Linked DNA regions of Ovis aries. The protein of the gene in region 2 interacts with the protein of the main gene of each other region in a pairwise test. Links are inferred from orthologs where the notes say so. Each region holds a gene or a part of one and is shown on either strand. Other genes may lie near its edges. The genes, in order: PBX2 and PKNOX1.

Evidence for each region.
Region 1: the proteins of PKNOX1 (region 2) and PBX2 interact in binary tests that used the Homo sapiens proteins (3 or more experiments, as listed by UniProt). The link is inferred for Ovis aries from reciprocal best matches to the Homo sapiens genes PKNOX1 and PBX2.

Annotation. Positions count from the first base shown.
Region 1 is NC_056073.1:26,273,694-26,277,930, reverse strand, and holds the start of PBX2 (pre-B-cell leukemia transcription factor 2), read right to left. Parts: upstream 2,839-4,237; 5' UTR 2,605-2,838; coding exon 2,384-2,604; intron 1,465-2,383; coding exon 1,391-1,464; intron 1,162-1,390; coding exon 914-1,161; intron 813-913; coding exon 622-812; intron 434-621; coding exon 298-433; intron 190-297; coding exon 36-189; intron 1-35. Other genes in the region: GPSM3 (G-protein-signaling modulator 3), read right to left, coding at 4,063-4,200. UniProt on the Homo sapiens protein: Transcriptional activator that binds the sequence 5'-ATCAATCAA-3'. Activates transcription of PF4 in complex with MEIS1.
Region 2 is NC_056054.1:263,884,635-263,888,440, reverse strand, and holds the end of PKNOX1 (homeobox protein PKNOX1), read right to left. Parts: intron 3,603-3,806; coding exon 3,391-3,602; 3' UTR 474-3,390; downstream 1-473. UniProt on the Homo sapiens protein: Activates transcription in the presence of PBX1A and HOXA1.

The DNA.
Region 1 (4,237 bases), on a different chromosome or scaffold from region 2:
GCAGAAGGGCCAGCCAGAGTGGCAGTGGGATCCACCTGCGGAGGAAGGGGGTGTCGGGGAGCTGGTACGGCTGTGGCCTCCCTGGGTGACCGACACAGCGGTCTTCACGGCATAGATGTTTGCCTCCTCTTGGAACTTTCCTATGTTTTTCTTATAGCGAATCCGCTTGTTGCCAAACCAGTTGGAGACCTGCGGGGTGGTGGGCAGAAAGCAGGGTCAGGTGGGAACCTGTTCCTCTGTCAACACCTTAGTTAGAGCTGTGTGCCCTGCAAACACCTCCCCGAGCCTCCCTGGTACCTGAGAGACAGTGATTCCGCACTTCTTGGCGAGCTCCTCCTTAGCCTCCTCACTCGGGTATGGGTTACTCAGGTGGGAGTAGAAATACTCATTCAGAACCTCCGTGGCCTGTTTGCTGAAGTTACGGCGTTTCCGTCTATAGAGGAGAGAGGGGGTGATGAGGAGGGTGCTGGTGTCCTGGCCGCACCATCCTGTTGATTCGCTTCAGAGGGCGCCACTGTCTCGGAGCAGAGTGTTGCGCTGCGCAACACGGTGGCCCCGAGGCTTGGAGAAGAATGGGAAGGAGCTGGGTGCTGGGTGCTGGTTGGGGGCCCTGGGCCCCACCTGGCGTCCAGGAAGCGGGAACGTAGGATCATGACGGCCTCGCAGGTGCTCTGCTTGAGTTGCATCTGGATGGCGCTGAACTTCCGGTGGATGATGCTCACCATGCGCTCCATCTCCTTGGGTGCCACGGGCCGCGTGCGGCTCTGCTCCCTCAGCAGGTTCATGACGTGGGTTGTGAACTCGTTGCACGCCTGCAGTGGGGGCCCCGAGGCTTGGTTAGCAGGAGCCCTTTGGCCCTGGGCATCCCCCTTAAAGGCCTCTCCCTCCACCCACTCTGGCTTCTTCTCCTCACCTGCTCATATTTCTCCAGCTCTGAGTGGTAAATGTGGCGGATCTGGGCAAGTTTGCTGCGATAGTCCGAGTGTTCGATGGAGTTGTCAGGGGACACTCCGCCCCCGGAGGCTGCAGCTGCTGCCGCTGCAGCCGCTGAGCCACCCCCTTTCTCAGGCCCAGCCACACCCTCTGCCAGAAGCATGTTGTCCAAGCGCATCAGCTGTGGATCCACAGGCTCCTCCTCTTGGGAGCTTCGAATGCTGAGGCCTAGCGTGCAGGCGAGTGGACTTAGGGACCCAGGGACCCCACACCCCAGCTCTCAGCCCTCCTGGAGACCCAAGTCTCCAGGCGTGGGTTCCCACCCAAGCCCCCCTTAGCAATCTTCCTGACCCACACTTTCCTCAGGGCCCCAAGTTGTCAAACTCTTAGCCTAAGTTCCACAGGGAACAGGGTTCTGTCCCCAGAGTTGAGGAATCGGAGGAGGGAACTCACGTACCAGTTTTCTCCTTGATTTCACACAGGACGCTAAAGAGAGCAGGCTTCATGCGGTGGCAGTTTAGGGCATGTTTCCTTGGGGAACGGGAGAGAAAAGTTGAGAGGCTATGGAATTGTCAAGGGGGAAAACCAACCACAGGACGACACACCCACGAGGGTAAGAGAGGGGAGCATGGGAATAGGGAGGTGGTGGGAAAATCTGTGGCAAGAAAAAGCAAGGCTGGGGGCCGAATGAAGTCTGGGGGGTTCTTAGGAAGAGTTCAGCTTCCATGCGGAGACAAGGGGAAGCTGCCTGGCTTTGGCTGGAAGGAGGGAAGGTGCCGCCAGCTAAAGGCACCATGGCCAGGTGGGGCCTGTGGGAGACGGTCTAGAAAGGTACAGAAGAGGATGTGGGAATGACTGCAGAAATAAGGGTGACTAGGTAGATTTCAGAGGAAGCCAGGAGGAGGCCGAGGAGAAGGAGGAGGAGATGAGAGTCTGAGGTGCCTGAGGGGGTGAGGGGTGCTGAGCTGAAGTGGGGAGTTCAGTATAGAGAAGTGTGAAGGGTCCTGGGACTGAGCAGGGGCGGAGGGTGCCTGAGGACCTTGGAGGCTGGGCCCTGGGTGGAGAGAAATGGTAGGAGCCCTGGGGAGGGGTCTGGAGAGCCCTAGGAAGAGGGTGGGCTGGAGAGTTAGGGGAGCAGAGAGCACAGCAGGTTTTTAGTCTGGGAGTCAGAAGGGGTCTCTGGAGATGGAAGGATGTTCCAGGGGAGTGTGGGGTGGTTAGGGAGCGGTGGAGGGTGAGACCACCTAGGGTTCCCCTTTTCAAAGGTTTCAGGGACTGGGGGTGAAGGGAGGTCTGAGAGGGATCACTTATCTTGGGGTTCCCGGGAGTAAGGAGAGGACAGCTGTAGTATCCTGGGGAGGGTCCTGAGTTGGGGGCTCCCAGAAGGTTCAGAGACTGTGAACGGGGCTTCTGCTGGGTCTGTGTGGGGTCCCGGGTTGGGGGCACTCACTTGGCCTGGGCCTCGTCCAGGCTCTGGTCGGTGATGGTCATTATCTGCTGCAGAATGTCCCCGATGTCTTGCTTCCCTCGGCCTCCCGGGACCCCCCCGCTACCCCCACCGGGGTCTCCGCCACCGGGAGGTTCGCCAGGGCCCCCAGGCTCCCCACCCACCAATCCAAGGCCCCCCCGGCCCCCGCCTGGAGGGGGCGGCCCCAGCAGCCGCTCGTCCATAGTTGGGGGGGGGGCCCTGAGGCCCCCTCCCTGCTCCGCCCCTCCCCCCCGCCTGGTTACTTCCCCCCCAAACTCGCTGGGGCCGCTGCTCCCTCCGCCCCAACCCCCGCCCGTCTCCCCGGCTCCCGTCTCTCCCGGGGGTTCACCCCGGCCCTGAAGGGAGACCTGGGGTACCGTCTGGGCCCCCCACAGGAGACCCCGGCCCCCGGCGGCGGAGAAAATGGAGCCGGAGAGAGAGAGGAGGCCCAAGCGGGGGTGTGTGAGAGAGAGAGAGGGAGGAGGGAGGAGGGAGGAGGGGGGAGCGAGGGAGGGAGGCTGGGGGAGGGGAGCCGGGGAGGAAGAGGAGGGGAGAAGGGAGGAGGAACAGGGAGGAGCTGGGGGCGGAGAGAGACGCACAGAAACATAGGAACTGAGACCGAGTGGAGGAGGGGACGAGGGCGGAGACTAGCCCGTGGGGAAAAAGAGGGAAGGGCCCAGGGGCTGGACTTCTGTGGCCTTGAAGCGGGGGCGTGTTGGAGGCTGGGGGTTCTTCCACCCGGGTTCTGAATCCGGGATCAAGCTGATGACGACCCTGGCCGCTGGAATGCCTGGGTTCACAGACAGCTTAGTTCATATTTCTTATCCTAATGACTCCCCTCCCTGTTCTACTTAATTAAAACCAGGAGAGGGGGGCTGGGGGGGATAATTAGGGAGGTCTCCAGCCGCTGCTTAATGAGCCAGTAATTAACCAGCCAGGGAGGGGAGCTGGCCTCTGGCCAGACTCGGGAGAGCGGGCAGCCTCCGGCCTCACCTACCTACCCTCCACCCGGCCACCCCAGACACCAGTCTTCAGTCCAGAGGGGGATCACATTTATTCATATAACCAAACATCAGACAGTTCAGAACAGCAGTGGGGAGGGAGGGGGGGCAGGGCTAAATGTCCTTTCACAGCCTGTAGGCCTGGGGCTAGGGGGTGCGGGTGATGGAGATGTGAGAATGGTCTTTATGTCTTGCCGTGCCCTCTCTTCCTTTCTTCTTATTGGGAAGGAGGGTGGAATTCCCAGGTCAAAACCTTGGGAGATTTGCCGTTCTTTTGGGAGATGGAGGACAGAACCCTGAGATCCCACCTGGTAGCTTGACTACTGGGGTTGTTCCCACAGCTCAGGACGGAGACTCTCAGGCACTCCCTGAGATCAGAAGAGAGGGTGAGGTGTCCCACTGAGGCTGGGATCCTCTCATAGCCTCATAACACACTTGGTTATGGCGGGAGTTATTATCCATCCTACCTTGGCTATTCCTAGGCTTTGAGACTTTCGCCCGCTCCACTTCCCAGGAAAGGTGGATGAGGGTGATGAATATTGAGATTTCTGCTGGGTCTTCCAGTCTCTGGTGCTCCTCCCCAGCAGGGGTGAGGGCATGAGTGGGGCTGCCCAGCTTTTGAGCCCCAGGAATGCAGAGGGGGTGGTGGGGGCTCAAGTCTCAGCAGGTGTGTGTGGGGGGCCGGGACCTTTGCTCCTCCATTCGACCCCCACCCTGAACTCTCAGCAGCAACTCCAAGAGCTCCTGCCCCCCTGGGGGTAGAGGAGGCTCTGACCGCTGGGCTTCCATCCGCTGGCACTGGAGGAGTAGAGGAAGAGGAGGTTGATGGTGAGGT
Region 2 (3,806 bases):
AAAATACTTTAGTCTGCAGACTTAAGCCTCTACGTATAAACAGTTTGGCAGTTAAAATTCTCTAACAGTGGTTTAATGGACTCTTCAGCGCAACCGGGAATTTCTTGGCAGGAAATTTCACATTATGAACTACAAAAGGTAATACCTTACCAGTGAATTGTTTTCTTCTCATTACTATCAGAATAATTAGATTTATGGTGAACTACAATAAAAAACAAACTGAAGCTTTCCTTTTTTTTTTTTTTCCTGGAAAACCAGTGACTACCTCAAGAAACTTAGAAAACATTCTTGAAGATGCAAATGGGCCTGAGTGCTCCAGGGTGGTGCAATCCTAATTTTTTAGAATCTGTGGGGGTCGCGACAAACCCCAAGTGTCACCAGCAAACATGTCAACATCTGAATGTTGTCCTTAAAATGCAAAAGCATCTGCGGTGACATGAGTTTTAGAAAATAAAACGTCCATGAAGCATGTTTGTTTTTAATTTTTTTGCTTTGATAAATCAGTTGCTTCACAAAAATCCCTTTCAAAGACAACAATCCAAGAAAACATTGTTACAGCATTCACATTTAAAGATTGTCAGTTCACAGACCAGACAGAACTAAATTAGGAGAGGGTGGCGGGGTTTTTTTTTTCTGTCCCTAACTGCCAGAGGCAGGCCATTCTCGCCTTCCTGGGATGTCTCAGCTTGTCTGAAAGAAAAGGTACTCCCCCACTTTCTCACCCCGGTAAGAGTCAAGTCAGGTCGTGGGCAGGTTATGTGGAGAAGACTCTGGGACTCAGGCCACGGCGACTCCAGCATCAGGGCCCTGTGGTCTTTGAGCGAGCTGGGGCCGTGGCCCACCTTACATTGCACGCTGGACAAACACTTACACTGTTTATTTCTGGAATCAGAACGCGAAAGCTGCGTTACTGCAGCAGCTGGAGCGTGGCTGGACATGGCCCAGCCATCTGCTACCCACTCAAGAGCTGACAGCAGGTAACACGACACTTTCAACCTGGATTGCAAGACACAGTCAAAACCATCCTTCAGGGAAAAGAATTTAACAAGAGCAAATTCCTTTAAGATGAGAGCTCAGCAGGGTTGTGCTCTCACAGATGCTCTTAAAACCCCAGGGGCTTAGAAATGGGTCTTTATTAGGTGCCAGCTAACTACCAATGTCCCAGACAGTGGCTTATGAGCCAAAATAGTCTGCCTGTTGGGTTAAGATCCCATCAGTTGCTCATGGGAAGAGCTTGAAATGCCCCCTCTCGAATGATCTTTATCCTAGTCCTCTGAATGTAGCGACCAGGATGCAGACTCCAGCTGCAGGGAGCAGGGACTGCGACCCTAGGCACCGACTGCCGGACCCCAACATGGCCCTGCTGTGGCCCCATGTCCATGCTGCTGCAGCCTGTGGAGCCCGAGCCCTGAGCCCCGGCTCCAACGAACAGGGTTTCTGCTTGGGGAAACTGACCTGGAGTGACCGCAGGTCGTGGTCACCAACCTGAACCTGAGGTCAGAGGGACAGAGGGAGGCGAGGGAGGGAGGAGGTGGCTGGCCAGCTTCCACAGGGTCTCATCTTAAATCCTAACTTTGTTGGACTTAAAACAATCTTTCAAACTAGTATAGTTTAAAAGATGTGACTTAAAAAATATAAAATTGTTTAAAAGGAACACAATAACTGCTTAAAAATGTTATTTTCTCCCCCAAAAGAAAGTCAAGTTTTTCTTTTAAATCTCCTGAAATATTTTAAAAGAAATTCCTCTGTATTTCTTGCTTCCTTCTAAGTTATCCAGGAAGTATTCTCCTATGACTAACTTTAATTATTAATAATTTGGGAAGAAAAAGTCAGTTCCAGAAAAAAAATCTGCACTTGCTCAAAACACCCCTGGGTAGCCTTGGTCCACAATCAATTACTATCGCTGCTTTTCAGGAACTGACGACCATTAGACTGTCCTTCAGGGCTTCAGGTGTCCCCACTGATGGTGATGCAGAGACGTCTTCTGTGAAACCAGGTCCTGCTTCCTCTCTGAGAAAAAGCCTCACTTGAAAGTAAACTGGCAGATGCAAATCCGAACCCAGGGAAACAAACCCAGCCTGCTCTGTGGTCCGCCTGGTCACCAGGAGCCGAAGTCCCACCATTATCCAGAGGTGATGTGATCAAGTCAGAGGAAGAACCACCAACCGAGTGATGCCGAGCCGCCACCGCCGCCCCACCCCCAGGCCCTGCTGGTTCCTGTCCGTCCTGCAGTGGATGTGCACTAATTGTGTAACAAAGCCGAGGGTCTGCTCTTTGCCTGCTCTGAGCCGACAGGAGGGACACTTGATAGTAGTTTATGACACACTTCCTATGCATAACATACGCTGACCGAAAGCTCCCAAGACAACACCCAGCTAACACGGCACACCACCACTTAGCCGTGGTCAGACTTAAATTAGACGGAAACAGTCAGCAAAAGCTTTTAACTGACCGCTGGCTACCACTTCTTAACTTACCTAAGCCCTACTTAGCACACACCTTGAGACGTACGTTTAGATAAAGTGTAAACTGCAATCTGAGCGACATATTGACTAGAATTTGAAGATATCAAAATTTCATTAAATAGACGTTTCTTTTATAGTAGAAAATGTGAATTACTACCCGGGAGAGCAGAGAACCAGAATACTAGCTAACTGGGGGCAGGTTCTTCCAATTTGGCCAACTCAGAACCTTTCAAATTGAGACAGTCAGTAAGTGTGCACTGTTTCTCCTCTAGAATTTACCCTTGACATAGTCATAATCCAATTCATAAGGAATTTATAAAAATAGCTTTTTATCCAATAATTCCAGCAAGGTAAAAATAGGAGTTTCTTTTCATATATAGCAAATGACACAGGCTCACGGAACATGAGGACGGAACCACATTTGAGTCGCAAACATTCGCCACAGGTCACACGCGGTTTATTGTGCTGTCATCCGCCTCACACGGGCGGCCTCCAGGTGCAGAGGCTTCTTCCTAATCCCGGGGCTGACAAGTAAACCAGCCCCCAGAGACCTGCCTTAACCACAGAACGAAATTAAAACTGCATAATTGTTCAGAAAATGGCAGCACTAGTCCTTAATCTAATTAGGGGCTCATGGGGTGGGGGGGAGGTGTTTGTCATTCATCACATTTTTAGCGTTAAACCTTTGAAGAATCTCCTTAAAAACACACGCACACACACACACGTGTGCACACACACACACACACACACACGCACACACACACCTTGAAAGAAGAAGTCGCTGCACCGGCAAAGACGGCCTGGAAGCTTACTATGAAATACAAAAGTGCACTCTTCTATGCCTACATATAAAACATATTAGAAATAAAACTGTGTAAAATGTTTGCTGTGCAAACTATAAAAAGGGGTGCCGGGCGGCCGGGCCCTACTGCAGGGAGTCGCTGTTCTCCAGGACCAGCCCGCCCAGGTGGCCGGGCGCCAGCGCAGCCCCGCCATCCCCTGTGCTGTCCACTGAGTCATCCTCGCTCTGCTCGGCCATCATCACCTGCTGCACCGCCAACGTGGCCCCGTCTGATGACAGGGACTGCAGGCTGTCCACGTTCATGCTCACCGGCGCGGTGATGGTCACGACGGCCCCTGTGGCACAAAGAGGCGTCACCATGCCATCGGGGTTCAGCCCGCTGGGCTGCACAGCCTGTCTTCCCCCGGCTGTGTTTCTGGGACCATCCACAGGGATTTAAGGAATGTTTCTAGGATCGTCCCAGACCCTGCAAAGCTAAGCTCTCTGTCTAGAAAGGGTCTGAGGGTCAGGACGGTAAAGGGGACAGACACCTGGGATGG